2 linked regions of the Lonchura striata genome follow. The protein of the gene in region 2 purifies or fractionates together with the protein of the main gene of each other region. This does not show direct contact. Links are inferred from orthologs where the notes say so. Each region holds a gene or a part of one and is shown on either strand. Other genes may lie near its edges.

Region 1 (15,579 bases), on a different chromosome or scaffold from region 2:
AGAGCTCGGGGCGCGTCCCGCCCGCACCGCGGGCCCGGAGAGCTCGGGGCGCGTCCCGCCCGCACCGCGGGCGCGGAGAGCTCGGGGCGCGTCCCGCCCGCACCGCGGGCCCGGAGAGCTCGGGGCGCGTCCCGCCCGCAACGCGGGCCCGGAGAGCTCGATCCCGCTCCGCCTGCCGCCTGGGCGACATCTGCCGCTGGCCGCCTATCCACACAACGGCAGGATTTCCCCTGTGGGAAGGGATCTCTGTGCGCGCCCAGCTCAAAACGGGGCCCGTTCGAAGTCAGGCAGGGTGGTGGGCACTCGGGCGGTGAATGCCTAATTAACGCTTAATTTACCCTCTAGTAAATGTTTAATTAACATGTTGAGCAGAATTAGTCTTGAGCTTTGCATGAAGCCTCCCGATTATGAGCACGTGGATGACAGGAAGGGGTTTTTGGGGTGCACTGCTCCAGCCCTGTCCTCCAGGCTGCGGGGCTGGGAAGGGTTGAGGCTGCCCGTGCCCAGCCCATGCCAACAGCACCGGGTGTTTACCAGCCAGGAATGCGGCTCAGAGCTGATGGTCAGCAGTGTTGTGCAGTTCATACAAAGTCCAAGGCTCTTTCCCTTCAGTGCACTTTGCTCCTTTGCAGTGCCTGGGTAACATTAGCGCTAGGTAAGCTGCTTCAAGCAGAGCTGCTCACACAACCATCAGCTATCGCCCTTCCTGCAAAGCACCCCTGCACTCCGGGCTGCACAGCAAGCTGCGTCCTGCCTTGTCCTGCTAGACTCCCCAGTGCTGACCCCTTCTCCTGTGCTACACATGTGAATGTGAATCTGAGTTCACTCCCTGCTCATTACCACACAACCACAGATTGGTTCGGATTGGAAGTAACCTCAAAAATCCGCTCGTCTCAATCCCTCTGTCACAGGCAGGGATGCCACCCTCTAGACCAGGTTGCTGAGGGCTCTGTGCAACCCAGCCTTGAGCACCTCCAAGGATGGGGCAGCCACAACTCCTCCGGGCAACCTGTTCCAGTGCCTCACCACCCTCAGAGTAAAGCATTAATCTGCATATGAACACTTCCTTTCCTGCCTTTGCCTCCTGCCCTAAACATCCCCTAATTACAGAAACACGAATCTTTAAACTAGAAAATTTTTGTTTAGATTCTATATCCCAAACCTAATTATACCAACAATTAAGGAGGGTATGTACTAAAACCTGGCCTGCACACCCACACAGGAGCACAGGCGGTGATGGCAGGAGGGGGAGCCCAAGCAGCACCTGCCAGGCTGCTTCCAGGCCCGTCCCAGGAGCCATCAGCCCAGTAAAGGCCCATTTCGAGGGGCACAGTGGCAGGTGGAAACCCAAATTAAGGACTCAGAGAAAAGAACACCCTGTCCAGTGCCATCCCAGGGGAGCCTCAGCCCCAGAGCACCTTTAACATTGGGGGTGTCACTGTCTTCAGGGGTGTGGGACAGGATGAGACGCAGGGGAAGAGCATTTGGGGATTGCACAGGACTCGTTAGGGAGTGATTAGGGCAGGAGCCAGGGTGACCTAGGTCACAGAGAAACAAATACAGCACACAGGAATAAAAAGGGCCAGTCCTGTGTAAATGGTTTGTGATGATTTGTCCATGTCCTGCACCTGATCAGCGCAGCCTGTCAGATCTTCTCATTAAACTCCTTCTGCACTTTGCCCTGCATGAGGAACTCGTGGTCAGAACACCACAGGGAGCTGCTGCTGGGGGCTGGAGAGGTTGGGAGTGAGGGGCAGCTCCTGGGCACTGCCTGAGGCAGCTGCTGGAAGGAGACCTGCTGTACACGAGTGTAAATTCTTCTGTAAATACACAGATGGACACAGACGCTCACTAGCGCACTTCTGTCCTGCTCAGCTGGAGCAGGGCGTGGGATGAGGCTGTCAGTGCTGTGTGGGAGTGCTCTGTGTGGATGGATCTGTGTGGCCAGCCATGGCTGTGTTTAAGTACAATATATTCAAAGTCACAGAATATTCTGAGTTTAAAGGGATACCCACAAGGATCATTGAGTCCAGCATGTGTGTGGTGCCTACTGGGAATACAGGCTCAGCCTGGTTATTGTTTGGGGCTGGGGATGCGGAGCCATTGCAGCCTCTCTCAGGCTGTTACATCTGGCACAGTGCATTTTTCTCCAACAGCAACCTGTTTAAGATCCAACCACTACAGTTTGCTGTGAGGATCTGGCAGTATTTCCACTCCAGAGAGCTGCAGTCCTGCCAGGAAGCAGACAAAAAAAAAAGAGAAACAAGATCTGGCACTCCTGCTGATACAGAAATTATTTTCCATGAGTTTATTCCTCATTAAATGAATGTTTTCATGCCCCTGAATTCTCTCAAAGCAGTAAGATCAATGCCAGCTCCCATCTGTTTTCTTCTATGTAGGTCACTCTCCTGGGCTCTTGTACTGTGGGCAGGGCTGGGCAGGAACAGGAGCAGATAGCAGAGCTGCAGCGGGTGGTGGCCCAGCCCTGAGTGATTGTACCCAGTCCCTGCAGCCTTAGGATCACCGTGTGCCCCTGCTGCAACATTGCTGCTCTGGTCTGTATGACCCAACAGCCCCAACCTACAGCCATGGCCCAGCAGTCTCTCAGAAACATGTGCTCTGGTTATATAGTTTTCAGTTTGCCTTTTTTTTTTTTTTTTTTTTTTTTGTCTTTGAACCATCCTCCTTCTTTCTATTTCACTCCACACACATACAGAGCTGGGAGCTGCCATCTCCTTGCTGCTGTCAAGCCCGTCCTTCTCAGACCACCTGATATCCTAGGAAGATCCCTCCCATCCAGCTAGGCAGCAGGACCGCCCCCAGCACCAGAGGCTTTTTCCTCCCTGCTCCTCAGCTCTTGGCCCCTTATCCCTCAAGTGATGCTAGCACTAGCAGCTGGAACACTGTCCATAGGCTCCCAAGGATGTACTGCCTCACAAATAAGCTCCTCCTTGTAAGGCACTTTTTTTTCATCACCCTCAGTACTACCAAAAAAACCCCAGCAGCTAGCTGGGAAGTAACATCAAGTCTTGCTTTCTCACCCACCAGCACATGGCTGAAAGCAAGCAGCAAGTACTGCCCCAACACAGGGCCTAAATAAAATCCTTCCCTGCAGAGACTGAGCTGCTCCACTCTACATTGAGTGAGCAAAGTCAATTACCAGGCTTACAGGCAAAGAGCATGGATGAGCACATTACTGAGCCTGCCAGGGAAGACTGGCTCACTGGTGGAACAGCCAGGTGCTCCAGCAGCTACTGGAATAGATACACAGATATAACAAAATCACCACAGGCCCAAAGAAGAGCTGTTATATGCCAGAAGCAAGATGCAGGTTGAACCCATGTAGTGCCTACTGGAGTAATGGTGGGCTCTCAGGGAAAAGCCCACAAAACCCTCTCTGCAACCAGCCACCTCAAAAAGCAGTAAGTTCTCTATGCTGCTTGTCCCCGAGATGCTTCCAAGTAAGATCCAGGACACACCTTTGCTTTTTCTGTTTTTCATTTATTGTTCAGTACGGGACACAGGTGAGGTAAGACATCTCACAAGGGTCTAAGCTGAGAGATTCCTTGCTGATGGAGCTGAAGGATGCAAGAGACTGTGGTTCCTTTTTCCTCCCCGCAGCACCAGCGGCTCCCTGTCCCTGCAGGGCTGCAGGGAAAGGGAGAGATACTGGCCAGGTGGGCTGTGAGCTCTGAACAGGTCAACAGGAAACTGAGGATTCAGCTCAGAGTGGAGACTTGTCAAGACTCTGCCGAGACAGGCTCCTGCAGACAGGACTCTGACGTGGTGGGGGTGGTTAGCAGAACATCTAGAACAATGACTGTGGAGGGGGAAAGCCTCAAGGGAGGCCTCCGTACTGAGATGTGTGCAACAAAAGGTCCCTTCTTGCTTCCACTTCTTTACCACAAGGGACAGCTCCTCATGGGGTGCTTCAGTGTTTGGCATTGATAATATCCACAAACTCTGGCTTGAGAGAAGCTCCACCAACAAGGAAGCCATCCACATCATGCTGAGAGGCCAGCTCCTTACAGTTGCTGCCAGTGACAGAACCTAAGGAGGGAGCAGTGTTTTAAGGTCAGATGCGCCAGCTCTAGGAAAATGGGGCCAGAGCAAAGGCAGGACTGGCAAGGTACCAGCCACTTCTTACAGACAGCAAGACTCTCCCATTTATCCAAGCAAGCTACCCAAATAAGCTATAAGGTGATTCTTTATGCCCTGAAAGTCAAGAGTTTCCTTGCCAGGAAGAAATTATGTACAACTGCAGCAACAGGTAGAGAAATGAAGCACTTCCTGCCCTGGAAAGTCGCTCCAGACTCACCTCCATAGATAATCCTAGTTGACTGAGCAACAGCATCAGACACGTGGCTTTTCAGCCACCCCCGCAGCTTCTCATGAACTTCCTGAGCCTGCAACACAACGCAGGAGTCACACTGAGGCATGAGCCATTCTGCACACAGTTCCCTTCCAAAGACAAGGTTTCCTGAGGGGGAAGGGTCAGTTGGTCCTTTAAGCAGCACCTCCCATGCTCATACCTGTTGGGGAGTTGCAGTTTTACCAGTTCCAATAGCCCAAACTGGCTCATAGGCAAGAACCACTTTACTCCAGTCCTTCACATTATCTAGGGAGGAGAGAAGGTAGAGGTAAGCACAATACCCCCATACTGGGAAGAGCAGAGCTGGAAAATGGCTAAAAAAAAAACCAAATCAACCATTTCATTTTCCTCTTACCAGCAATAGCCTTGGTCTGTTCAAAAACCACTTTCTCTGTTATGCCAGCTTCTCGCTCATCCAGCTTCTCTCCAATACAGGCAATGACTCCAAGGCCCTCAGCCAGAGCATGAGCCACCTTCTGTCCAATCAGCTGGGAACGGAAAAGAAACAAGGCAGCCAATAAAACAGGTTGGAGGTATGTTTTAATTGTTCACTTTCTCAGTCTTTGCAGACCCATTGTAACTGGACCATGTCTCCATTCTATGAGGCCACTCACCTCATCAGACTCTCCAAAAACATGCCTTCGCTCTGAGTGGCCGAGGATCACCCATGCAGCTCCAATATCCTTGATCATTGCTGGGCTGGGGAGAAAGGAGATGACTCACTGGAGGAAGTTCACATCCCAGAGGCACCCTAACTTTATTCTCTGGGCTCACCTGATCTCTCCTGTGAAAGCTCCTTTTGGTACTTTATAACAGTTCTGTGCTGCCACGCCAATCTTTGCATCGAGCTTCTGACGGGCAAAGTCTAGGTAGATGGCAGGGGCTCCACAAACCACCTCTGCAAGGCAAAGCACCTTGTAACCCTTGTGACAGGAAAAGGGCAGAAACTGTACCCAGCCACTGATCCCAAATCCCAGCCCCAAGGGGTCATCCCTCTCTCCTGGGAAGGCACAGCCTGCCCCTCCTCACTGACATTTGGTGGCCCCTCTGCCACAGGGCAATCCCCGCTATCCGATTACTCAACAGCAGGGAGGAAAGCCTTTTCTAGGGGGCTGGACAGGCGACACCAGCCCGACGGCCAGCTCACAGGGGTCCCTTGGGAAGTGCCCAAATGAACGATCGCGTGAGAATCCCACCCTGCAGCCTGGCCTGGCCGAACCGGGCTGCGCCTGGGGGTATAGCCGGGCGCGGCGGCGGGGCGGGCGCAGCGCAGCTCGGTGCTGCGAGACCGCCGCTCGCAGGGCGCGGGGGCCAGGCCGAGGGGAGGCCCGGGCCCGCCGCGCGGGGTCCCCGGGGGTCGGCCGCACGTGGCGGCCGGGCCCGCAGCAGCCCGGATCCGGTTTCGCGAGTATATTTAGCCGCGGGGTTATATTTAGGCCCCGCCGCCCTCTGACATTTGGCGCTCCCCCGCCCGGGCCCGGGCCCGGTCCCCGGCTCCGCAGGGCCGTGTGGGACGTGCGCTACGTGCGGGCCGCGCCCTCACCGGTGTCGGCGGAGAGCTTGGCGCTATTCAGCGTGTGGATGAGCTCGCCCAGGCTCTTCTTGTCGCCGTTCATCTTCCAATTGCCCCCCACGAAGAACTTCCTGGGCGCCATGGCGGGAGGGAGCGGGAGCGGGGCCGGCGGCGGAGGAGACGCGAAGGTCAGCGGCGGCGGCGCGGAGACCGGCGCCCTTTTATAGCCCGGCGGCGGCCGAGGCCCCGCCCACCCCGCCCCGCGCGGGCCCGCCCCGCCCCGCCCCGCCCGCGCGCTCCCGCGGCCAGGCGGGCTCAGACAGGAGCCAGGGGGGAATTTCGGCTTTTATTTTGTCCCTCGTGTATTTTGGCATCTCAAGGGCACACAAGGGGAAGCGCTGCCCGTGGCCCGCCTTGCTGCCCGCCCCACGCCCCCGCCCGACAGGGCGGGCAGGAGGAACCCCCCCCATTCACAAGCCACACGTACACACGAGCCCCCTCCTCTCCTTCCGGACAGCAAGGAGGTGGCATCATCCCACCAAGCAGCGAAGCACTAGGGCTGTGTGGCACGGGGGTGGGGACAGTGAGGACATTTCCTACAGAAACAGATATTCCCAACCCCCCAAACCCCCTTCACTCATGTCCACGGGGGCTCCAGCCCCCAGTCGATCAGTCAGTGAACTCTTGTATCCCCGTGTCTCCACAGAGAGGCCGTGAAGGGACCGGGGAAAGCAGCAGAGAAGAGAAGGACCCTGCTCCCACCCTCACTGCCCCCACCCCTTTCCCCCCCCGACAGCTTCAGCCCACTTTCCCCCCACCACACACAGCAAGAGGATGTTCTAGCTGGGAATCCGCTGATAGAAGTAGATGTAGCCCAGGTCCTTGGGGGGCTTCTCAGAAGCACAGACTTTCTGGTCGTTGTAGATCACCCACCTGCAACAGGAGTAAGAGGAGCTCAGGAATGCCATTCGTGGTTAAGACACAACTCGATTGCCTGCTCTCAGTCCCAACCCCCCAAGACTTCTGAAGAAACAGGGCAGGCTGGGGATTTAAAACCAGTACCTCAGTTCCCTTACACTGTGGAAATCCTTACCTGCCATCTTTCTTGATGTGACAAACATAATGTCCACACATAGTTGAAGTGCCCATGTGGCTGATGAAGGCAAACAGCTGATATTCTTGAAAGAAGGAGGGAAGAGAGGATTGTCAGGGAAAGATGTCTTACACCCTAACATCCTCTGCAAGGCCCTCTCTAGAGAAGGATCCCTGAAGGAGGCTCTGCTGGGTAATAATTTAGAACTGGATCCCCCGTCAAGTGTGACTGTCAGTGGTCTTAAGGCCAGACATAGAGGGAAATGGGAGATGCTGACTTCCATTTAGACTTGTCTCTTCCAACTTTCTATTTGGGCCATGGCTCCTGGATGGGTAAGGCAGGGATTTTGCCTCCCTATGGCACCCAGGAGCCAAGCACCACTGGCACAAATTCTGTGCACAAACCAGAACTACTTTTTTTCAGTGGGAACCAAGAGAGCAAAAAAAGCCTCCTAGAACCACTGGACAAAAGCAGCACAGCCCTTCCTTTCTCTTCATGGCCCTTCCCCAACCTCTCTCTTATTGGCTTCCAGGTTAACACTCATCCAGCCTGAAGGATCTAGACTACTTTGCCATACCTTCCCTCCTCCTCCCTGCTTCCACCTCTACAACCAGACCAGCTCTGCAGTAGCTGCTGCTGCTAAAACCTGCAGTACTGCATGGATCAGGAATGACAAAGCAATGTTGAATTTGCACCCCAAAATCCACATTCCTATGGCTTGGAACTCACTTCCAGGCCCATCGCGGACTTTGGGACCCACAGGGATGGATTCAGAGATGGACTCGGCTGCCGAGCGCCCCTCTGAGATATCCATAGCAGCTTCTGCATCGAGGTCATCGATGTGACTGAAGATCCAATCCACAGCACGCTCCAGACTGTTGTTCTGGAAGGAAGAAGACGACAGTGAACTTGAGAATTCCTGTTCCTGAGAAAATCCTTGCACTCTGATGTCACCCATGCCTCTCACCGTGGCTCTAAGCGCTTTCATTGCCTGGTCCCGGGAGAAGCCCATGGAGACAATGGTGGCCACGCTGTCTTCCGAAGGAGGGTCTGGGCAGGCAATAGTTGACCCTGGCCCACTGGATCCAGGGAGAACTAATGGGTTAGCAAAGTCTGCAGCAGGAAACACAACACAGCTCCGAGTAATCAGATCTCTCCAAGAGGGTACAGCCCAAGTCCAAACTACTTCAGTTTTCCACTGTGGTAGTAGGACACAAGAACAGCCCAGAAGCAGCAGAAAGCTTCACCATGCCCATGGCCTCATACCTGGATCGTCCATATGTGACATGACCCAGTTCATGGCCGCCTCAACCCCACTGTTCCCTGTGTAATACACGGCTTTGCGGCAGGCATCCATGGGAAAGCCCATTTCCACTAGCTGGATAATCACCGACTCATCCAGCATGGGTGCTGTGGGGAGACAGAAGTTAGAGCCACCCACTCCCACCCATCCCTGCTGGCTCCATTTTGTCTCATGTCACACAGCCTCCAAAGCCACCACTTCCTAGCTTTATTTCACACCACCTTCCATCTCATGGCTTTTCTCAGCCACCTTTCTTCTTCAGAAGAGCAGTCTCACACACAGGCAAAGAACAAAATGATTCAACCCATGAACTCAGGAGCACTGGCTCTTCCCTAGGCTCTGAACCCAACCTCCCACTGTGGTTTGTAAAAATTAAATACCCCTACCAATTAAATGCTGTATAAATCCCAGCTCTGTCTCCTCTAAATGCACCAGACACGCCACCCCATCTTGCACAGAACAGGAATCAATAAACCCCCTTGCATAACACCCTTGCATAACAGGCATGCAAGGGAGGCAGCTGGCAATCGCTGACAAAAGGACAGGGAAAGTCTGAGCAAGTGGGAAACTGCTAGCATGGGACACAAGGCAAGGAGAGCAAGGAAATGAGTCAGGCATCAGGAAGAGAGGAGGAGAATCACTAACATGTTGGAGAGGAGAAGTGAGGGGAGCAGAAGGAGTCGTCGTCCTCGTTGCCATAGAACCCCAGGCTACCTTTGGGCTCATCTGGTGTCACCAGTGGGGGTGCGATGTCTGGCATTTCTTCCTCTCCTTCCTGCAGCCCCGTTCCCTGCAGTGCAGAGATATCCAGCTCCTCTGGCATTTCAATGGAAACATCTGCAAGATATGGTCTTGCTCAGCCTCCACGTAGGGGCAGAAGCAAAGGACTCAGCTGGGAGATCTAGAAGGGTAAGTCCCTGGGGATGCCTGCAGCAACTTTTGGGATAGTCACTTTCCTCCTGGCAGCAGTGACCACAATATCCATATGTGACTCCCAGTACCTATATGCTCTGTACTTCTCATCCTCCTTACCGAGTTTTTTGGGCACCCAGTCCAGACCAAAGGTGAACTTCTTGATCTGGATGACCAGATAGTCTGGGAAAGAGGCGAACCGTGTTGTTCTGAAAGAGACACGTAATATTTTTAAATACCTGGTCAGCAAAGACTAAGGGTATCTAGCTGATCCAATAAATCAGTGAGCAGGACAGAACCATGTCCTGAGCAAGTTGGGGGACACACCTGTCTGTGCAGTTCTTCTATACTGAGCTTAAAGCTCCTCAAACACAGAACTATTTCTAAGACAGAAGCCCTGATGAGATGGAATGCAAATCTTGGAGATGAGAAAAAATTGTACATATGCTCTACCTTCCAATCCTGTATTTTACAAACCTGGTCAGATTTTGTTTAATTGGAAGTCTAACTCTTAAGGAATGTAGTGGAAATAACATCTTTTATTAGAGCAACAGAACATGCAGGAACTGTCAAGCTTTCAAGCATAAGAGCGCTTTTTTGGATATGAAACAGAAGCAGTGAATTTTAAGTTAACCAAATTCAATAAAACATTTTTTAGTTAGACAATTTGAGAGAGAAAGTGTCTGGAAGCTATGAAACAGACGGGAATGTTTGTGAAGGGAGAAGCACTTCTAAGTGAGACAGATACTCATTACCAGGTGATAATTGCAAGATGCTGTAGAACTAAATCAAGTGACAGTAAAGTGTTTGAATACAACTCAGTAAAAATTAAAACAAAATGTTACTTTTCAATGTGTTATTTGTTTATAGTAGCTATTGCTTAATAGTAGAGAATTTAATAATTTAATTAATTAATCCATTAATAATGGAGTATAGAAAAGCCCTTCCAACTCTTTCATGACTTTCATTGCAAAAGAATACTCAGCATCACAGCAGAAAGCTGCTTACATTTGTAATTTTGTCACTTCAACTTTGCACTGTTGCATGTGCTACAAGCAGTGAGAAAAATTATATCTGGTTTTTAAACCTTGCTACTAGCATTTAAACTAGCATTCTTTCAAAGAACTCATGCATCTGTTACACTCAGTGTTCTGCTCAAATCTTCACAGCTTAAAACTTGAAGGAATTTTAGACATAGTGTAAGATCATTGTCATCATACAGTCAGTGCAGATTTCAAAGATAAATTTTAAATTTACAGTAACAACTACTAGTTTTCTGAAATATCACTGTGTTTTCATAGCCCCTCAGCAACTGAGAAATCTGATGACTAGTGCGGGAGTTTGTAATTGGACTCCACTAGCACTGCCGCTCTGCCTACTGAGGGTAACCACTCCAGCACTGATGGACTGATCCCCTCTCTGCTTCAATGTTCTATGGGCCCAGGGTGTGGAGGACTACAAAGCTTCAATAATGGTTCTTCCCCCAAGCCACTACAAGTCCCCAGAGAAGCAGCTATGGCCAGTTCATCACAGCTTAGCTGACACACACTTACTTGAGAGCCACAGACTTGGCCTGCAAGGCTGTGCTCCAGAAATCATCCACCTGCTCTGGAGCTCCATAGGCCTCTAGGCAGGAGCTGAAAGGCACCTTGGCTCGCACCAGCTCAGGCAGAGGCTGCTTCTCCTCCTCTGCCTGCCTCTTCTTCTCCTCATATTCCAGCAGTTCATCTAGAGAATAAAGCAGGGGAGTCAAGGAACACCTCTAGGTACCTACAAAGCGACTGCTGCAAGCTACACCCAGAGGCAGAGCAGGCCTATAGATACACGCCATCAAGCACGGAGCACAGCTTCCAGAGCACAGCTCTGCCACTGCAGTCACTCCTCGTTTGCTGCTGAGTCACAGCCCAGCTTGTGGTGGCCGAGGGAGAGGCTCTAGAGGGACATCCGTGTCACACCACCTTTGAAGAATCAGCCCAATCCCACAAAAGCAGGAGAAGGACCTGGCCTCAGAAGTGGCAAAGAAGTCCCTTTCTCATTTAAGGAGCTCTGTAAGAATAGTATAATATAGAAACACAGGGCTTGCTACTGTTCTGGTGTAGGCACATTACTGACCTTTGTTGAGTGCAGCATCCATGGGCACAGGCAGCTGCATAATATAGTCCACACGCTGGGTGTATTTCACCTTTTCTGTGGCCAGGCACTTCAGCTTCTCCTCCACCAGAAAACGGAAGACCTCGTTAGGGTTCTCCGAGCTGCGGCAGTTCCTCTGAGGAAGGAGAAATTAGAAGGACAGATGTAACAGCAGAATAGCAGAAAAAATTATCTGCAATAACAGTGATGTCACACAGCATGTGGCTGAAGAGGATTCACTTCTGTACCCAGTACCCTGGAAAAGACAGCAAAGAGGAAACTAAAGCCAGCTTCTGTACTCCAGGAAGCCATGGCATTCCTACTCCTACAGAAGAAACTTTACACCTCCAGCTGTGCCACTCCCAAAAAAGACTTCTCCATGGAATCAGCTCTGAAAACATGGCCAAGCACCTCTCCTTCTCCACCCTGGCAGGTGCTAGATGGCCCATTTCCCTGTGTTCTTTCCCTCTCTCTGCTCCAACTGCCAGCTTCTCACCTCCACTCCTCACCCCTTGCTGTATGAAGAAAATCAAGCTGGACTTATCTGTGATTTGTCAGTTAGACTCAACCATTACCTCCACCATGTTGATGAAGTGCAGAAAGAATTCCTGGGCATCTTGCTGTCTGTTAGTGGAAAATTCTGGGTGCCCCTTTCCAATGAGGGACTTAAACATGCGTGGAGCAATGCCATTTTGCATACCCTGCAAAGAACAATGTGGAAGAGGAAGGTGGTCATAATTTGCCAAGCATGTGTCCTGGCAGGTAGCTCTCTATTCTTAGACATGCTTTTCTTCAGGTGACAGGCCTTGCAACAAGCCCCAGCACATGTCTTCAGAAAGGGTTCTCCCTCCTTTGCCATGTAGCACACACAGTACCTCATGCAATACATGCATCAAAAGGATGCCATACCCAAGCCTCACCTTCTGATCAGGCTGTTGTTCCCCATCTGCAGAAGCTGGCCTTGAATACTCCCCAGAAAGCAGTCCATGGCCAAGTTTGGCTCTGGAATGACAAAGTCACTGTTAACATCAATGTTTCTTCAATCTCACATGCTCCAGGAGCCACATCAACCCATCCAGATTTAACACTGCCATGGGCTGTCAGTCTCACAGATAACAGCTTTTTCTGCTGCACCAGGCAAGATTATCTTATCGTGGTCTGCTCTCTGGCTCCTGGAGACATCATTGACTTCAAAGTCACCAGGGCTTTAGGGTGCCAATCTCAACCACTGCTTGCACACTGACTAGAACACGAAGGAACAGCTGGTGCTGAGCCACACGGCAGCTGTGCAGCAGCCAAGCTGAGCTGCAGCCTGATGGGGGAATGGAGCAGTGTCTGACTGTGCAGGAGACAACCGGGCACAGAGAAATTGTCTGAGCCAGAAATAGCACTGCTGTGAGCACACTGATCACGTTTTCCCACAGGAAAGATTGACTGCATCAGGCACTTAATGGACAACAGTATGTGTTCAGTGATTTACTCCTATGCTCTGACCCTTCTGCTATTACATTTCACTCCAGTCCTTCCCCATCATTACTGCCATCTTCCCATTTGTCTGGAACCAAACCTTACCAAACCCTTTGCCCAGGCAATCATCTTTCTTTCACCTTAATCCCCTCTCAGTGAACACCTCACTCCAGGCTGCCCAAATTTAGAATCCTTCTGTACTGAACTCCTTGTCCACAAATGCTACCTTCCATTCCTCCCCACCCAAACTTCCACATGCTTGTTTGAAAGCAGCTGCAGCACAAACATTACATACGTAACATGCAACTCCCTCCCAAATCTTGTGTTCCTCCTTCTGCATATTCTCCACACTGGAGGGAAGCCTCTTTAAGCATACATAAGTTATCCACTGAGAATAAAGCTGCCTAAACCTATGTATCCCCTTTATAATCTCCCTCCATTGAAGACAGCAAGCCCTTTTTATCTGTTATGCAGACAGAAGCTGTCTCCCAGAAAACCCCCCAGTTTAACATGCATAATACATTTCAGAGCCTCTCATGAACACAGGGTGCACTCTGTCCTCTCCATCTAGGGCATTCAGCTGAACTTCCTTGGCTTAGATCCTTATTGATCACTGAGGATCAGTGTTTCTGGTGACAGGCAAGGAAACAGAGGTGAGGCTTGAGGGAGAACCCTGGAGCAAAGCAGCACAGAGGGGATGCATCCAGGCAGTCTCAGCCTTCTTTCTCTCACCAAAATTCTACGTACACTTGTGTGCTGAAATCCTGTGTGGGGTCTGAAGGTGCACTTTGGAATATCTTCTCCAGCTTGTCCACATACCTGTGGAGCAAAACAGAGCAATCTAGGGGATATGCAGCTTCATCTGGTAAAAATGCAGCTCTGAGGATGACTACTGCAACAGAAGCGCCCAGCTCTAGGGGACTGTGTACTGATCCCAGACTAATGGAAAGGAGTGATTAAGTTCACTTACTTTCTCTGGAAGTCTGGGATACTGAACAGCACCTGCATCACAGAATTGAGGTAGCAACTGTTGCCCAGGTTACGGATACCAGTGTACCCAGGCCCATAGAGGGGCTTGAGTTGAACGCCAGACTCCTGGATGAGCTCCCACTCGCCAATGCGCTGGTTCATGTCTATTTCCAGTTCTGTCATCGTCTTGTCTGTCTGCAGAGGGAAAGAACAGGAAAATCCTCAAAGAGGACTCAAGGCAACATCAGAGGTGTGAAAAATGCAACAATGCTGTAGAGAAACAGAGTCAAATTCATTCTGTTTTATTCTGTAAGTAGAGGAGGAAGAAACAAGAGTTGTTTCCATATATATGAATAGCTGGGACAGAAAGAGGAGGAAAAAGAAATATGGGAGAAAGCTGAACCATTCCCTAGAAAGAGGCATGGAAACTACACACTAACAAAAAACCCCTCAGCACCTGGGAGCCTGTACTGACACATAAACCCAGGGAAATAATCCTGAGGGACATGAAAGAAAGGCAAAAAAGGCAATAAAAGAAGAGAGGCAGATGAGACAGCTCTCTGTGTGACAAAAAAACCCAAGGTTTCTTGACCAGGAATGGTTCTGCATAGCCACAGAAAGCTGGAATCAAGCAAAGACACCTCAGAGTGCTTCTCTGTCCTACTGGGCCTACAGGGGACACCACTTCCTCCTCACCTTCTGCATCTTAAGCATGTCAATCCCAAAGTGTGCTAGGTGTTCTGCCAGGTTGGGATCCAACACCATGTCATCCTCATCATAGGAGTAGACATCTATGCAGGAAAACAGGAAAAAAAGTAACTTATAATGACCTGTGATCTCAAATTCACAGCTGAATGAAGAAAGTGCTTGGAACTGGGAGTTTTGACAAACTGAGCTGTTGGGCTTTCTGCCCTTTCTCAGCAGAATAACATAACAGACAGAATACCAAGATTCCTCCTAAACATGTGACAAGACAATTTTGTCACCAATCAGGGTACAGAGGTACACTTATGCCAGGAGTAATGAAAATGGGTTACTCTGCCATATACTCTCTGCTCAGGATTTGAACACAGGGTTCTTTGATAAACACCCCAACACAGAAAATCAGACGGCAACCTGGATAACTACTCTGAAAGCTCACAATTACAAGGGAGAGGCAGAGAAAGGCAAGGCTTTTTTATCAGCTCTTTCTTTGCCTCACACAAGAAGCAGGTCAGAGGGGGAAAATTCACAATGGGATGATACTGCATGTTCCAGGTCACAAGATGGCCAACACCACCCTAATACCTGCAAGAGATCTGTGTCAGCCTGAGAGGTGCCTGGCATCCCTAACCTGGGGAGGAACCCCCTTCTCACCAGCCCCATCAGGAGTAATTGTTCCCAGTTTCACAGCCAGCGGGTAGCCAGTTTCTCGGTAGTGCTCGACCGCATGGTTGTTGCCACCACTGCCATCAAAATAGCGCCGACCACAGAGGATGGCTCCGTCGGTCATGTTCAGCCACAGGTTCTCCTTCATGTCACACTTGCTGCACTTCCAGCCACTATTGACACGGAACAGAGAAAAAGAGATCAGAGGGAAAACCTCTGGGTTCTACCTCCCAAGCCCTTGCCACTGCTGCCCACTGCAACATCCGCAGTATAAAGCGATCTCATTCCTCTTTTACTACAGAACACTGAGAATCCTGACATACCCCAGTGTGCCACCTCCCCTGAATCTACTGTGACAAGCACACCTGGAGACTCACAAAAGAAGTCTCATCTGCTCCGCAGCCCAACACAGAAGAAGGGCCTGGGACACAAGTGACACAGCAAGTTCTGGT
Region 2 (16,514 bases):
GGGCAGCCATCAAGAGCTGAGCAGACCAATTCCTGTCACTATCACACAGCAGCAGCCCGGGGCTGACAGCTGAGCTGGGTGTGCCATCACTTAGGTCTGCACCAGTCTTTGTAGGCCAGGCTTGGTGCCCACAAAGCACAAAGGAATCTCATTCAAGCAGACTTTTCTAGATCCTCTCAGACTCTCTTCAAGTCACCCTGTTTGGATAAAACCTAGCCCCTCCTCTCATTCAGCCACTCTTCGAAGCATAAATCAGCTTGTATCCTAGCTGCACCACTGCAGCTCCCAGGGGATGAAGAGTTTCTGCACACTACAACACCAGGTTGCTGGAGAAGGCTTCATTACATGTTAGATGTGCACTCATTAAGTAAATTAAGTAAAACCATTGCTGTGGTCAGTTTGTTCACATGCACTCCAACACACAGGCTTACACCCCCCAGGTGACACCCCACCAGAGGATGGTTTGGACACTGCCTGGCTGTAGGAGATGTTAAGAGAAGACAGATTGCTCCTACCTTGCTAATCAGTGCAGGTGCAATCGTTTTATTGACGTGCTCAACAGCTTTTGAGACACCTGGAAGGAACAAGCAAATCAGACACAGGTCAACACACAGGTTATGCAGGGATTAGTAGGGGAACATCCAGGAAAACCACCTCATGCTACCCCAGCCCCAGTCCAAGCTGAGCCTATGGCCAGGTGAGAACACAGAGGCCCCTGGCTGGACTGGGAGGCACATGAAGGATGCATTGGCTAGGACTGGTCCAGGAATGCCAGGTTAGTCTGCCAGGCCATGCACTGGAGAGACTCATCCGAGTGCCAGGGCTGCACATCCATTACCTGTGTGCACAGGGCCGTGGCCAGGAACTCGTTAACATATTTAACAGCTCTGGAGACACCTGACAGAAGCAAAATGGAGTCAAGGCGCAGGTGACAACTCGCAGCCAACCCCACAGGAATGCAGCAGAGGACACAGAGGCACCAGGCTGGCACTGAGCACTAGAGACAAAGGGCTCAAAGAGCAGAGGAAGCTGTGCAAGGCTCTGTGTGGGCTCTCCACCCAGCTCTCCAACTCTGCCATCACAAACCTCAAGGGCCTGAACCACAGCTTTTCAGGAAGGTTTTAGGATGGGCTCCCCTGCCAACTCAGAGAACCCAGGAGTGAGGGGAGGGAAAAGGTTTCTCTAGAAGTTACTCATGCAACAGCTCAGGCATTTCACTACCTGTTACAGGTTCACTATTTTGTAACACTGCTGTAGCATCACTTTATTTACTGTGCAGTGTTTGAAGACTTCCAAAAACCTAAGCTTCAGAATGATGAATGCTATTTGACTGCATCCTAAACAATACTAATTGCTTTTCCAAGTGGTCCAAGTCTGCAGACCTCTATTACAAAAGGCCTAACAGCTATCTGCAACTCTTCCATTTGATGATTATTTTTTCATAACTCATGTTATTTCCCAGCTGACAAAGCCCTTCAGCCACAGCCTGTTAACTACAGTGTAATTAAATGTCATTAAGAACTGTCCATAGGATCAGACTTAACAGGTCTAAGCACACACATTTAGCACAGAGGGGTAAATACACATTTACTCTTTGCAAGAAAAAGTGCCCTGGGTAAAGAGCATTAAGAGCCTCAGGTTTTTTGGGACATTCAGTCATCCAGGCATTTATTCTCTGTTAAGGTATTAACAGCCATGAATCTCCTAAGACAAGGCTCTCCAAGTTCAATTTAGTTATCCACTTTAATTGCTCTTTCCTAATAGGCAAAAAATATTTCAGCTTCTTTTCACCTGCCTGGCAGGGAAGTTCAAAAATAATTCTCTCTTCCAGCCAGAAGTCAAGATGATTGCTCACACTTCAGAGGCATCACCAGTGCTTTTAGAGCAGCCAGTTAAGAAGAAGCCCTGACTGTCCAAGCTCTCAGAATAATCACAAGAAGTACTACTGGGATGTTTATTAGGTAATGACATCTTGTTTGCAGCTATTCCTTCTCACCCATACTTGTTCCCAAGCCAGCCTGGTGACTGCTGGGTTTAGTTCTTTTCAGAATCCACAGCCAGTCTCCAGACAAGTAAAATATTACACCACCAACACAAACTTAAGTATCCTGGCTACCTGTAATGGCAGACAAAAAGCCAGAGTGACTGAAGCCACTGTGAGGTCTGAAATAGAGGCACCTTCCAGGACTAGCAGTGCAGAGCTGCACATCCACAGTGGACAGAGCTGGCATGAAACCCCAGGTTCAGGACTGAACAAGCTGGGATCTAAGGAGTCTGCAGTCTCAGAGCTGACAGATTTAAGGGCTCTGGGAAAATTCGGGCTATGAAAAGACCTTGTGACTAACTGCAGGATGACTGAGGCTGTTGGAGCTGGCAGTTTAGATGCCCTTACAGCACTGGCAAAGCACTCTGCCACACTTCCACACACAGTGCAAGAGGAGGGGGTAACAAAGTACAGCTGGACACACTGTACCAGACATTATCACCCGGCTGGGCGTGCCCAGCTCCACACACCCACCCGTGCAGCTGCCCTGCCCTGCAGCACGACGCAGCTGCACTGCTGGAGGCAGCCACCCTCCAGGTTATGGCCAGGAAAGCAACCCAGCCACTCTGCTCTGCCTGTGGCCAGCTCACAGCCCACGCTGCTGCCACTCCCTGCCTGTCCCCTCTGCCCAGCTGCCAGCACAGACAGCAGGACAGGAGCCCAGCAGTGACAGGGACCAGCTTTACCTTTGCCCATGTAGCGTGTCTTGTCATTGTCACGGAGCTCCAGGGCCTCATAGATTCCAGTTGAGGCACCACTGGGAACAGCAGCTCTGAACAGACCTGTTCACAACAGGAAAAAACACCTTGGCACACTCGAACCACTAAACATCCCCAGCCAGACACCATCCCAGCCTGTCACACACTTCCAGCCCTGCAGCTGCGAGAGGGAGTCTCCAAACCACACCTCTGCTCACATACACACTGATCCCACAAGGGCTTTCTGCTCATTTACAGCATCACCAATTTATCAGCATCTCCCTCACGCTGATCAACAGCAACCTGACTCCTCCTCCACTATGCATTTCAAGAGTTAAGGAAGGCATCCATCCCCCTTCCAGAAAGGATAGCTGAATTCACTGCATCTGCCTTTGAGCTCAGGCAAGGCAAGCTCCTAAGTTCTTCTAGGATATGGCAGAAAAGGGACAATTAGGAGACCTATTTTGCTAACAGGAGTCCTGAGCTCTTCTGACAACAGCAGAGCCACTCAGCCAGCCCATTCCTTCAGCCAAGGATGCTGAACTTGGAGCAAATTTGCACACTGGAGCCTGCTCTGGGGTTCAGGATGCCAACTTCAACCTTCAGTCTTTCCCTTATCCCACTAAATCAAAGAGCTTAGTGGAGGCAGTCTCATTAAATGACTGTATTAATCTTTTGAGGCAGAAAGATCAGCTCTTTAGTCAGTGTATTACAGCCATTGTGTTTGCTCATTCCACCAAATCACATTGGTATGAGGTTGCACAATGCTTTTGTCAGATCCCATCAGATGTGGGATGAACAACTAACAAACCAAGGGAAAGTCCTACAGTAATTAAAAATATAAGATGTTACATGTGAAAGCCCAATTAGACAAGTTCTTTAGTCATGCCTGAGTACTTAGGCAGAGGAGAAACCATTACCAAAAATTCAACTGTGCAGCAGCAAACTCTGTCATTAGAGAAAGCCACTGCAGACAAATTAAGAATTAAACTGCAAGTGTACTCATATCGTGGGGAGCACTGACAACCAGGGCCATGAGCAGCTGCTCCAGAACAGAGCTTCCAGGTGCTATCCCAGTTTATGCTGGGGCAAGGGAAGGAGGGCAGGTTTGGAACAGCTCTCCCACAGTTTAGGCTGTAAGAAGCAGCACCCTCCAAAAAACCCTGCACTGTCCATGCCAGGAACTCGAGCTCGGCAAACTCATCCAACAGAATGAGGCAGAGGCTTTTTCTGCAAGACTCACAGCAAGTTCCAACAAGTTTTATGTGTGGAGGAAGAAGTCAGCACACTTCCACTGCTAGAACAGGACAGGTTCTATGCTTCTGCCTGCCTGGGGTTCTATCAGCTCTAAGCCAGGGATGAACAGCTGCAGCTGAGGACTCACCTTTGTTGGTGTAGAGGTCTACCTCAACAGTGGGGTTGCCACGGGAGTCAAAGATTTCACGGGCATGGATCTTGGTGATAGACATCTTTAGTACCTGAAAAAAGGAGCTTAGAATTAGTCATTGAATGGTTTGGGTTGGAAGGGACCACAAAGCTCAACCCATCCCACACCCTGCCATGAGCAGTGACACTTTCCACCAGACCAGGCTGCTGGATGAGCCTCATGCAGCCTGGCCTGGAACATTCTCAGGGATGGGGCAGCCACAGCTTCTCTGGGCAAACTCTTCCAGTGTCCCATGACTTTTATTATTAAAAAAACAAAATCACTTCCTTATGTGCAAGGGACAATCTCTTGATGTTTCCAAATGACCTCAACTGCAGTATCATCAGACCCCAGACACAGCTGCAGGAGCAAATGACAAATCTAAAGGAACCTCACCACGTCAGAGCAGCAAAGAGCTCCCAAAACAGCAACTCTGCTATCTGTCAAGAGTTCTTTTTGCTAAGAGACCAGGGTGCAATAGCTCTCAGCATGCAGAGTGCTCTTAGTATGCACAGCACCTGCTCAGAGCCAAACGGAACCAATGACCAAAGAGAAGAAGCCACAGCTCATTAAAAACTTGCATTAATAGTTACACCCTGTTGAGAATTTACAGGAATATTTTTTCCTCTTAACTTTTTATCTTAAAAGGAAAAAAAAAATCCCCCTAGTCTTTTGGATACTTCTTTTTTCCCTTCTTACATTTATCCACTTCAGAAAAGTGCAGCCAGGGAATTCTTATGTAAGCCCAGGCACATTTTAAAAATCAAGTCATACACATGCCTGTAAGCCATCGACTGGCACCAAACCCAGCCCATCTGCACAGAAGAAAGCTCAGCCTCAGAAGCACAACTATCTGGAAGCTGGTTTCTTGGCAAGCCAATGTGGGTGGCAACCCTGTTTACAGAAATGGTCATGAATCCTTCCACAGTTACTGCAAAGTTAAAAAAACATGACCTTAGAAATGCTGCTGCTGGTTCACAGTCTGTGAGGGGGTAGTTGCACACTCTTGTTCCTCCCCCACAGCAAACTCTGCCCTCCCCAGGTCAAAAGCACAGGCAACCTTTGCTTCCCCCCTTTTGGCTTTCCCTGTCCCTTCCAGCTGTCCTGCCCCTGCGTGCTGTCTAAGATTTCAGTCAGACCCCCACACTGACACATGATCTGACTAAAATATGAAACAAGACAGCTTCTTCAAGCTGACCTTCATGCTGCCACTACCTAGCTTCAGTCAGTGAACACACAAGCTAGAAATAAATCCCTGCAAGTCTCTGCTTATCAGTCCCACCCACACTTAGCTCTCTGCAGATGCACCGAGCAATGGCTAACAGGAAGAATGCCCACTTATCCAAAAAGGCTTTCGGAGTTTATCACCTGCTAAACCTTACTTTCATTTTTAGAACCTTGGCTTTGCTACAGAATTTGAGGTGGCTCATTCTTTGAAAGCACAGCCAGTTTCCAGGACGTCTCAGTGCAGTGCTACAGCTGTTTGTTGACCTTCATGAAGGAGGCACTTCAGGAGCACACACTGCAAGAACTTCCACTGGGAATGCCTGTGAGGTCAGACATTACTCCATCCCTGACAAAGGACCACAAGTCCCTCCCTTCCCTGCAGAAAGAGGCATTTCACAGCACTGCATTACCCTAGAAATCCATGATGCTCCTTATGCAAACTCTCCACTCCTGTGTTCAAGAAACAATTCTCCCTTTGAGCTATAGGGTAAAACTGATGCTGTTTAGCTCACCACGATATATTCTGCCTCAATCAAATCAGTCAACTCATCCAGAACACAAGGGTCAGCCCGTGTGTGCACAGGTTTAACCACAGAAATGCTGACTGAAGGCAGAGAGGACAGCAGCACTGTCTGCTCAGACCTTTGTCCTGTGCCAAACACGCAAACAGCCCGGTGGTATTTAACGAGCACACTGCCTTAAACCTTTTCCTGCAGCATAATCTGCTGACAAGGTCACTGTCTCCCTTCAGGGGAAGCCACACACTCCAGCTTTCCTGGCCTGGCCTGCCCAGGAGCACCTAGAACCCCTGCCAGCTCTGAGGACCTTCTTCACTACAGCTCAAGTCTAAGAAATCACCACGTATTCCTCATCTGACCCTGCACAGGGAATGCAGTACTCTCAACTAGAGATCACTCCAATTGAAAATTATTTCCAAAGATGTTTTATAGGCAACCCTACTACCAAAATCTGTCCTTGTGAGCTATCTTGCAGCCACACTTCTCTAAAATCAATACAGGGTTAAGGCTGAGCACTGCAAGCATCTGAATGGAGATTTAAAAAGCAACACTAAAGTTTAGCCATAGAAATAACTGCCCTAGTGAGTGTCTTATTACAGGCATGCCACATTTATCAGTGGAAGCCTCTCTTGACACTTAAAGGTCCTTATGACCGTAACTCTCATACCACCAGTGCTCTGAAAAAAGCTGAGACCTTTGAGTGCACTCTATGAGATCCCAACGTATTAATTCCCCTGCCAAAGCTCTCCCTGAAACTGGACAAATGTGCACATTCCAACCCTGCTCCTCTCCACTCCACGGGGCATTAATCCACCTCTACAACATGATCCAACGGGTTCTGAAGGATGCAGACACGTTCAACCACTTTCTCTCTCTGCGTTTAGTAAGATGGAGGCCTGAAAGTGCGTTGGCTCAGCCTGTGGGCTTGGATGACAAACTTCAGTACTTCCTGCCGGCTCAGACAGCCACGGCCCTACCCTGTGACTCAGCAGGCAAGTAACGGAGCAGGAGAAAGCCCAGGGTCCTCTCTGGCAGCCCTGCACGAGGCAAGATGGTTAACAGGCAGCTCTTTATCCACACCTGCACATCCAGCTGCTGCTCCCCACCAACGCTGCCCTGGGGTAACCAGCACTTAAATACCCGCTAAGAGACCTCGGGCACAGATGCTAGCAAACGTTAAATATTTGAGATGGGAAGCTAAAGGACATCTACTAAAGAGGGGAAGGTCCAAATCACCACACGCAATCCGAGAGCTACTGTTAATGATTAAAAGAAAGAGGTTAAACGCTGTCTTTGAGGATGCCTTGACCCACCGCATCCCCCTGATTCTGCCCCCGCCTTGACCCACCGCATCCCCCCCGCTTTTAACCCCCACCCCCGCACACCGCCGGGGCTCAGGCCGCCGCAGGCCCTCCCTGCCCCGCCGGCGCTGCAGGGCCACACAGCAGCCTGCACCCCCGGGGACCACCGAGCCTCGGCCCGGCCGGGGCTCCGCGGCCGCTCCGAGGGGAGCGGATTCCCTCTCCGGAGAAGGGAAGCGCGGCCTCCGGGCCCGCGGGGCGAGCCGCCGCACTCACCGCTGTGCCGGCAGCCCCGCTCCGCAGCCCCGCCGCTGTCGCCGCCCCGGCTCCGACTGAGACCCAACGGCCCCGCGCGCACCCGCCTATAGCCGGCCTCGCGCGCAGGGCCCGCCCCGCGGCCGCGCCCATTGGCCAGCGCCGTCCCCCGCCGCGTCCCGATTGGCCGCGGCCGCCTCGCGCCAGCGGCGGGCTCGCGTGCGTGCGCTACGTGCGGCCGGGCCGGGGCCTCGTGGAAAATCCCCGCGCGAGGGGCGGGGCCGGCGCGGCGCATGCGGGCGGGGGGAGCGGGCGGGACCATGCGGAGCGGGCGCGGGGGGAGCCGTGAGGCGGGCATGGCGTGAGGGACGGGCGGCGCGGCTGGGCACCGGCACCGGCACCGGACACCCGCCTGTCCCGCAGCCCTGCCGTGGGCAGCCACATCTCACACTGCCCCAGCTTGCTGCGAGCCCCGTCCACCCTGGCCTTGGAGGCTTTCAGAGTTATCCTCCATCCAGAGTGCCATGGATGCCCTGTGCCTCACCACCCTCACAAGGAATTCCTTCCCAATCTCCAAACTAAAGCTGCCCTCTGTCAGTTTGAAGCTATTCCCCTTGTCCTGCCACTGCTCGCCCTGTGGGCAGTCCCTCCCCATCTCTCTAAGCTCCCCTCAGGCGCTGTAAGGCCAGGACAAGGGTTCTCTCTAGGCTGAACAATCCCAGTTCCCTCAGCCTTTCCTCACAATTGTGGCCAGTTCTGGGCTCTGCAGTGCAAGAAAGGCGAGGAATACTGGAGAGGGTCCATGGGGGCCACGAATTTGGGGTCGAGCATCTCCCTGATGAGGAGAGATGAGACAGCAGGGCTGGGGCTGGGTGGTCTGAGGAGACTGAGACGGTGTGGGAATAACGAGTAAACCTGGAAGGAGGAAGGCTGGAGCGGATGTGTGTGTTCCAGGAAAAGGTTAATTACAAGCACAATAAATATTCACTCTGATTTTGAAGTGAGTAACCATCACACTTCCTGGAGGGGAGAAGGAGCACTAAACGTGATGGCTGTGACAGCTCACACCAGTGTGCCAGCTGGAGCACAAACTTTTCTGAGTATGTAATAAGTTGGGCTGTGACACCTCACACCAGTGTGCCAGCAGGAGCACAAATTTTCCCGAGTGTGGAAAAGTTGGGCTGTGACACCTCACACCAGTGTGCCAGCAGGAGCACAAACTTTCCTGAGTGTTCTGGGATAGTGGAAGCTGTCCCTGCCCGTGTCAGGGCTGGGATGGTTGAGCTTTAAGGTCCCAGCAAGCCAAAGCATTCCGTGTTCTATCTGTGGGGATGTGGCAGTGCCAATTCACCCTGACTGCACCAACAAAGCTGTTTTATTGCTCACAGATCAGTGAAGTTCGTGGTGCTTCAGCCCTGCCTCGCCCTGTGCCGGATGTACCTTCTGGGCACATTTTTCTTTCCTTCCTGAGAACATCCCCTCGGGACAAGCTTAAAGTCTAATAAAGAGCAGAGGAAGTCTGCAGGATTGACCTTCCCGCTGGGACAGCAGCCTCTGCAGAGGGAGAAGTCCTGTGCCAGCCAGGCTGGTTTGTGACAGTGCCCCGTGTCCCCCATGCCCACTGCCTGTGGGGCTTTTGCCTTCCCTGCACATCCCTGTGGCTGCACAGCCATGAATCAGGTTGTACCCAGCTGAGATAAGGCACCACTGGGCAGGGAAAGCCCTTGGAATTAAGCTGTCACAGGTAGATAATTCTTTGAAGTGCCAGCCCCCCCAAACTGCACATTGTACCCCTTAGAGCTGTGTCCTTGGCAGCACTTTATCCTGCAGCCTCACCCTGCCCAGTGTGAGGGCATGAGAGGGGAACATTCCCTGTAAAAACACATTCCAGATGCTGGAAATCCTAAAGCTGCATTTTTATGCTGGTTAACTGCTGGATTAGAGATGCTTCACTATCTTTGCACTTTATAAAAGTGCCTTTATTGCCATGCAGGAAAATCACACAGAGGTGTCAAATCTTATAATGAGCTAAAGAAAATGGAACACAAGAAAGCCTGAGGCTGAGGGAAATTAAATATTGTAGTAGCCAGCAAAGGCTGATGCTGAAGTACAGCAGGGTGCTCTTTGGGGACAAAACGTTTTCTGAAAGGTCATAATTAGCCTGGTGGGAGGCAGAAGTGGGGTTTAAAGGAACCCCCTGCCCAGAGCACTGAGCTCTTGCCCTATTCCCATTCAACCAAACCAAAGCTGTGAGGGAGAAGTGGCTGTGGGAGACCAACCTAAACCCCTCCTTGTGAGAAAGAACCCAGAACTTGCCAGGAGGAGTTTAGGTCTTGTCCCCTGCCTCTCCCTCCTTCCCTTGTGGGCACAGGGGCAGCACAAAGCAGATTTCCTGGTCTGGAGCCTGGGCAATGAGCTGAGGGCTCCGAGGAGGTACAGCTGGGGACACGGGGCTGCAGGCAGCAGTGCCCAGGCACCCAGGAGCCTGGCACTGATCAGGTGCTGGTATAATTTTTTCCTGGATCAGCAGATTTAAACTCGCACTGTGCCATACGTGTTAAAATTAAACTCAGAGCTGATATTAAAAGTGCTGCTGCTCAGCTGTGTATCCTACCTGATTTTTCTTTTTGTCTTGCTTTAAAGAGCATCCCCAAGGCTATGAGATTTCTAGGAAGCAGAAATTTCTTTTGGAATCCAAGCTTGTTACCAGTATCAAATACTCAGTATACTCTTTAAGTATTTCATGGTTTGGAAGGGGCCTGTATGGCTAATGGGGTGGACCCTGGGGACAGAGAGTTTGGGGACACATAAAGCCAGTGCTCCCATTCAACAGCCCACACAGGAACACTCACACAGCAGAACTGCTGATGGAGCAGGGGGAAAAACCACTGGCACAGACCTGGCTCACAGGCATCCACCACCCAGAAATAGAGAGCGACTCTCAGGAGCAAAATCCCTCCGCTGCAAGGCCTCACATTCCCTGTGCTTTACAGGGAAAATTGGAGTGTGATAAATGTCAGTTTTTTGGTGGCTTGCAACACGCTGATGAGCACAGAAGCCAGCCAGGCCAGCCTTTCCCTGCCCTGTTTCGAGCAGTTGGGCAGGAGCCTTCTGAGCTCTGCAGAGTGTGAAATCACTGGTTCAGGCAGCTGAGGGTGCCAAGGCAGAGCAGAACCACCACAGATCAGAACTTGTTTGCGATGCATTCAAGTGCTAATAACCATTAGCAGCAGCAGGGCACATTCCAGGGCGTGAGCTTTCAGAGAGCCTTGAAGCACTTCCTGCACGCTCAGGGACTTCTCTCTCCCCCCAGTGCCTCCCACAACACCTGAAGATGTGCCTGGGTGGCTGCGTGAGCACCTCCCTCACCCGCTGCATCCGACACCTCTGCAAGTGCCAGCCTGTTTGTGTTCTGAGCAGGTTCCCTTGGCAGGGCAGCTCTGCATCTCAGGGAGCCAGGCTTTGCGACTCGCTTCAGTCCAGGTGGGACCTCCAGAGGGAAGCCACTGGATGCAGACGTGAGCACTCTGTCACTCAGATTTCTGCTCTTCATCCACCCTGCAGATCCTGGTGTTTTTACGGACCCTTCATTGGAAAGGTAATGGCAGAGTCTGACTAACGCTCTTTCTGGGTATCTATTAAATTGTGGAATGACTGTTTGAGATGTTTTCTTCCAGGCGTTCAGAACCTCCTCTGACTTTACATCCTTCTCCCCCACTTTTCATCCCATTTTTTGCAATGCCTTTGTCTCACAGCTTCACCCTGCAGCGAGGCACCTTTAGGCGCATGAATAGTGAAATGGCTGGAGGTGACAGACCTCATGGCTTTCTTAATGCTCTTACCTTCCAGCACTTCCAGCTTTCTTAATGCTCTTAACTTCCTGTCTTCATCATCCTGTCTTCTCCAGGGCTTTAGTGGAGGGCTGGTTGGTCCATACTGGTTAGAGTGGGTCTGTGTGCAGTTGTGTAGTGTGGCTCCACCATCAGCCTCCCTGAGTACACGAGGGCTGTGTGAGACCCTCGGGTACCAGGCAGGATATTCTGTACTACTGGAAATGCTAATTTAAATTTACAACTACCACATCCATCTTCAGGGCACAGGGAATGGTCATTTGGAAGGGAACCAATGCATGAATCAGGGGACTGATACCAAAGAGTACATTTCCCAGGAGCTGATGATCCGATACGGTGATTTGTAGGAGACTGAAAGCTTCTGAACCAGCTGGATATTAATTGCCAGGAACTCTGGATCCAAAGGCCATAGCTGCTTGTTGCAACCATGCTGAAACCATGCAGTAATTCTCTTTATGGAGGCCAGAGTGCAAGTCCTGCACTGCTTCTCACAGAGTGTCTGAGGCTCCTTGCTGAGCAGGGCCTTCCCCCTCTCTTTGAAATGTATTCCACTATAAAGGGGAAAGCAAGTTAGGAATTGATTTGCCATTAAGAAATTGTATTTGGTGTTTAGGATTGGGTTTTTTTTCTGAATGATAACACGAAGAAAAAAAAAAGAGTAGTCCAATAACAACTCATTTGTTTCCTTAATGGGTGCAAAATAGTTATGTAAAGCACAAGAGTTATCAAGCAGGATCCTCTTGCCACAGAACAGGTACAACACAGACAGAGAATTTAAATTTCCTTCATGTTGTCTTCCTGCCTTAAACATCAACCTCATTCTCATGGGAAACACTTCCAGCTCCCATCATCACTTTTAGCTCCTCAGAGTGCAGTGGCGAGGATGGACTGTGGGCACTTTGCTCCTTCTGAAAGTCCCTGCAATGACCTTGCCTGCAGAAAAAAACACTGCAGAGCTGAGCGAGCAAACACTGGGCCCTGATGACCTTGGGAAAGCAGGGACTGGGCCCTTGGTCACCGAAATGGCGTGCATCTGTCCCCAGTTTGGATCTCTGAATGCATCTCAGTGAGGTCTGCTTTGTTCATCAAAAGGAGCAGGCATGTCCCAGACATAAAACACAGCATCTCTCTCAAGGCTGGTTTGCTGCGTGGGCCTGAAAGGAAGTTCAAGGTGGTATCTGCTTGTAGTCACATTTCTTCCATTCCACCACTGCATCTCTTAATCCAAATCCACATCTGACTGCCTTCCCTACCTTCCACATCTATCAGCAATGTCCTCTGATGTTTTCAGAAAATCTCTGCTGAAGCTTTTTCCTCAAGCCGGGCCTCTGTCAAAGGATCTCTTCCAAAGCAGCTCTGGTCCTGCTGGGATCTCTCAGCTTCCCCCATCTTTCCCCCTCTTTTTCCTTGGATTTTTTTGCTCTTGGGAAAACAAGCACAACTCATCCCTCAGGTGTGGCCTCTTCATCAAGTGCTGAATGAGCTGCACCTTTCTGATCCCTTATCTCTCAGCTCCTTGCCTTGGGGCTGAAGGTCCTGCACTCTGGTCCTGCAGCAGGTTCTCCACGTGCCTGGAGAGCTGATTGCCATGCCTTTGGAGAGTGCTGTCCCCTCCTATGTGGACTTTTGGGATAGCTGCATTGCTGTGCCCTGTGAGCTGTGCAGGGTTAACAAATTTGTGCTTATACAGCTTTTTGAAGATGAAAAGTGCCATGGAAGGGCTCTGTTATTGTTACCACGTATGAAGAGGTCTGTACCAGACCCAACCGTATTGTGTTTGGCCACTGGATGTCACAGCTGCTCAACACACAATGCAGAAAGGGAAAGTGCTTAGCCAGCAATGAGCAGCAGCACTTTCCAGAGCCTTTTCTTGTTCTGTGCACTGTTTGTTTGTTTGTTAAGGGCCTTGGGGTCTTCTCCTTTGTTTGTGCACTGCTAATGTCTGTTCAGAGAGATGGAGCAGCAGTTGTGCTTCCCCTGCGTGCTGTAACACTGGGAGATGAGGAGCAAATGGAACATTTTTAGGGGAGCAGTGCAGATACCTACAAAGCACTAATTGCACCATGAACAGGTATTGGCACATGCTCCCAGGCTGTTATTTCTTCTCTGTCCCATCCAGTGCGCAGCTCAGAGCCCTGGGATGATGGAAACCTTTATCCAAGGTTTCTTTCTCATACAGCTCCTTTGATCCCCACACTCAGACCACATCCCAGTGCTCCTCACACACAATGCAGTGGCAAGTTTGGCCTCCCCCTTCCTAATCCTGCCTTCACGCTTTGCTTTCTTCCAAAGTCTCAAGCAGAGATCCAGAACGTGAAATCCCCTTTCAGCAAAGTCTGTAGAGCAGCCCTAAAGAGACATTACAAGGGCTGTAATGACATTTCCTGGAAATGAAAATGAAGAGGGATTATTTGACCATGTTCTCTCCTTTTTATAGCATCACATTGTCCTTTTCTCCACCTTGGGGAAATGGCAGTGAAAGGCTGCTCCTGCCCGTGGTGCAGTGAGGTGATAACCACCCCAGAAGTGATGTGAACATTAAAAAGGGAAAACTATTTTAAGATAATCCAAGGGTTACAGCTATAACTAAGAGTAATTGGCTGAAACTGAGCAAAAGAAAATTTAGGTTGACAATGAAGTGCAGGTAGCTAATGCTGAGATCTGTTAGACCATGAAATAGAATTCGCAGAGGAAACCTCTCTGCTTTTAAATGGGCAAATCCTGCCTTTAGGAGCACTGGTGTAGATGTCTGGTGTCTGTCTCTGACTGCCTCAAAGCCCATTTCTTCCACAAAGCTTCAGCAGAATCATAAAGGTGTCTGAATTTATATCAGAAGAAGGTAAGAAGGTGTCCCTGCCCATGGCAGAGGGTTGGACTAGATATATTCTTTAAGGCCCCTTCCAAACCAAACCATTCTGATTCCATGATTAAATTTAGTCAAATACATCAAAATATTGTATAAGATGAAGGAGGTCTAAAGGGATTGTGTGAACTGGAGAAATGAATTCCAGTGCTTTTCTGCCTCTGTGATCTCTGTATGTACTTGAAAACCAGGGGCAAAAAGGGAAGAAGAAAAAAAAGAGCCTGGGCAAAATATCAAAGAAAAGAGGGACAGTTTTGGAAATAAGATGTAGAAACATTAGAGGAATTGTTGAATAAAAGAATCTCGTGTTTCAATCCGCACAACTATTGTCAGCTTTCCTCATGGGTCTGGGCCTGCCAGCACTGGCTGATCTTTGCCTTTCATAAAACTTGTGTAGGCTCTGGATGCCTTCACTCATCCAGCACAACCTCAGCAGAGAGAGCTCTGTTTGAAGAGGTTTTAGACTCACTCAGAAAAACCTGCATGGCCTGATTGAAGGCACTCTGTCCATCTCACTTCAAACAGCCTGTTCCTGGTCAAATGTTTGCTGGGCTGGAGTGATGCAGCCCTTACTGCAAGCCCTGATGGAATTCCTGCTGATTCAGAGGCAGAGGAGTTAACCCTTTCAAGTTCTGGGTCAAAGGAGCACTGAGGTTTGAGCCAGCTACTTCAATGCCATATCAAGGTTTTAATGTGGCCACCAATACTCAAAATGTCAGGCTTGAGCTGAGCTTTAGGCCAGTGAGGACAGAGAGAATAGCCTGGGAGAAGCAGGATTTAAAAGATGGCAAAGAGTCAGGGGAAACTGTAGAGATGAAAGTGAAGTGCATGGAAGCCAACGATGTGGGATAAAAGGCTTATTTCCCACTGCAGTCAAGGTGGGAGGGGGAAGGCTGAGGTCTGTGTGAAAGTTCCCTGCCTCTGGAAATAACTCATGCCAAGAATATTCATGGCTGGCACACACGACATCAGATTTTCTCACTGGCTGAATCTCAGTGCAGAGATGAGTCCTGTGCCAGTCTCCTGTGAACCCCCAGCTCACCTCTGCTGTGCTGCCTGGAGTTCCCAGGCACTATGTCCATTCTTCTCTCCAGAAATTATGTCCAGGTAGCAAAAGAGCTGACCCACACAAGCCTCAGGACAACCAGGTTTAATACCACATACACTAAAAAAGCTCCAAGAACCAGTAACCACTGGTTGACATGAGCAATACTTTCTACAGGAGGACTTCCATAACATTCAGCTCTTAGTTAGAAGCTCAATATCCAAATTCATTTAAAGAACTTAATTAAAATTATTGTTCTGTCCTAACCCCAAAACAAATTCATGCTTTGTGCCCTTAGTAAATCCTTTCCACAGATTGCTGTGTCTTCATAGAATCACAGAATGGTTTGGCTTAGAAGGGACCTTAAAGACAAGAATTTGAGCTAACACAGATGTGGCTTTTGGGTGTGCTGAGCACCCACAGCCCCTGCTGATGTCAAGAGAAATGTCACAAATGTTGCAAAAGCTCCATTAAAAATTAATTTGCTGTCAACTCCCATTTCCGGGCATGAATGGGCTTTATTTCAAGTGCTTTGTGCAGACTGGGCTGGCTGATCAATAAAGCACAAGCAAGGGAAGCAGCTTGTCACTGTGTGACATCCATTCCCCTGCCCTGCAGGTGACAGCAGAGGTGCTCCAGCACAGAGGTGACCCCCTGTGCCTGGCTCTTCTTCACACCCTCCTGTGCTGCTGCGTGGAATCCTGAATTGCAAAGAGGTGTAAACCCCCAAAATTACACCCTCAGCTAATTTCAAAGCCTATTTACACAACTGGATACACAAGGATTAAGAAGTGCATTGCAGGGCAGGTTTGCTTAGTTTGGTCCTTACACAGTTCAGTGCAGCTGTCAGAATAAATGACTTCTTCAGAGGAGAGAAGGAAAAAACACATTTGGTTAATCAGCTCAATATTACAGCAGTTCCCAAAGATTAAATATGCACTGCACAAACCAGCAACCCTTTTTACGTTAACAATTCACTTGCAAAGAATAAGATTTTGAGTAAAATACCTGCTTCTGCTCTTCAGCACAGAAACCTGAGCTCCCATGGCACCTGTAGCTCACTTGTGCCTCTTACTGTTGAATTGCTGTTATTATTCATAGGATCACAGATTGAGCAAACTGCCTGTGCTGCAGCATCCTGGGGCCTGTCCTGCCCAAACTGCCCCAAATTGCCCCAAACTTCCCCAAACTGCCAGATCAGGTCTTGCCTTCTGTGCAGCACAGCCTGACCCTCACCCCCAGACTCACCTCAGCTGCTGCCACCTCGCTGAGTGGCTGAAAATCAC

Evidence for each region.
Region 1: the proteins of ENO1 (region 2) and TPI1 fractionate together in Homo sapiens (co-fractionation; 4 studies listed by BioGRID, with this or other methods). This does not show direct contact. The link is inferred for Lonchura striata from reciprocal best matches to the Homo sapiens genes ENO1 and TPI1.

The regions. Positions count from the first base shown.
Region 1 is NC_134604.1:29,736,348-29,751,926, reverse strand, and holds TPI1 (triosephosphate isomerase), read right to left. Parts: upstream 6,115-15,579; 5' UTR 6,028-6,114; coding exon 5,916-6,027; intron 5,271-5,915; coding exon 5,147-5,270; intron 5,072-5,146; coding exon 4,987-5,071; intron 4,861-4,986; coding exon 4,728-4,860; intron 4,619-4,727; coding exon 4,533-4,618; intron 4,407-4,532; coding exon 4,319-4,406; intron 4,051-4,318; coding exon 3,932-4,050; 3' UTR 3,481-3,931; downstream 1-3,480. Other genes in the region: USP5 (ubiquitin carboxyl-terminal hydrolase 5), read right to left, coding at 6,725-6,818, 6,979-7,063, 7,708-7,861, 7,946-8,091, 8,245-8,388, 8,927-9,118, 9,314-9,402, 10,747-10,921 and 7 more. UniProt on the Homo sapiens protein: Triosephosphate isomerase is an extremely efficient metabolic enzyme that catalyzes the interconversion between dihydroxyacetone phosphate (DHAP) and D-glyceraldehyde-3-phosphate (G3P) in glycolysis and gluconeogenesis.
Region 2 is NC_134626.1:1,237,604-1,254,117, forward strand, and holds the start of ENO1 (alpha-enolase), read right to left. Parts: upstream 7,594-16,514; 5' UTR 7,491-7,593; intron 4,221-7,490; 5' UTR 4,212-4,220; coding exon 4,127-4,211; intron 2,827-4,126; coding exon 2,731-2,826; intron 575-2,730; coding exon 516-574; intron 1-515. UniProt on the Homo sapiens protein: Glycolytic enzyme the catalyzes the conversion of 2-phosphoglycerate to phosphoenolpyruvate. In addition to glycolysis, involved in various processes such as growth control, hypoxia tolerance and allergic responses.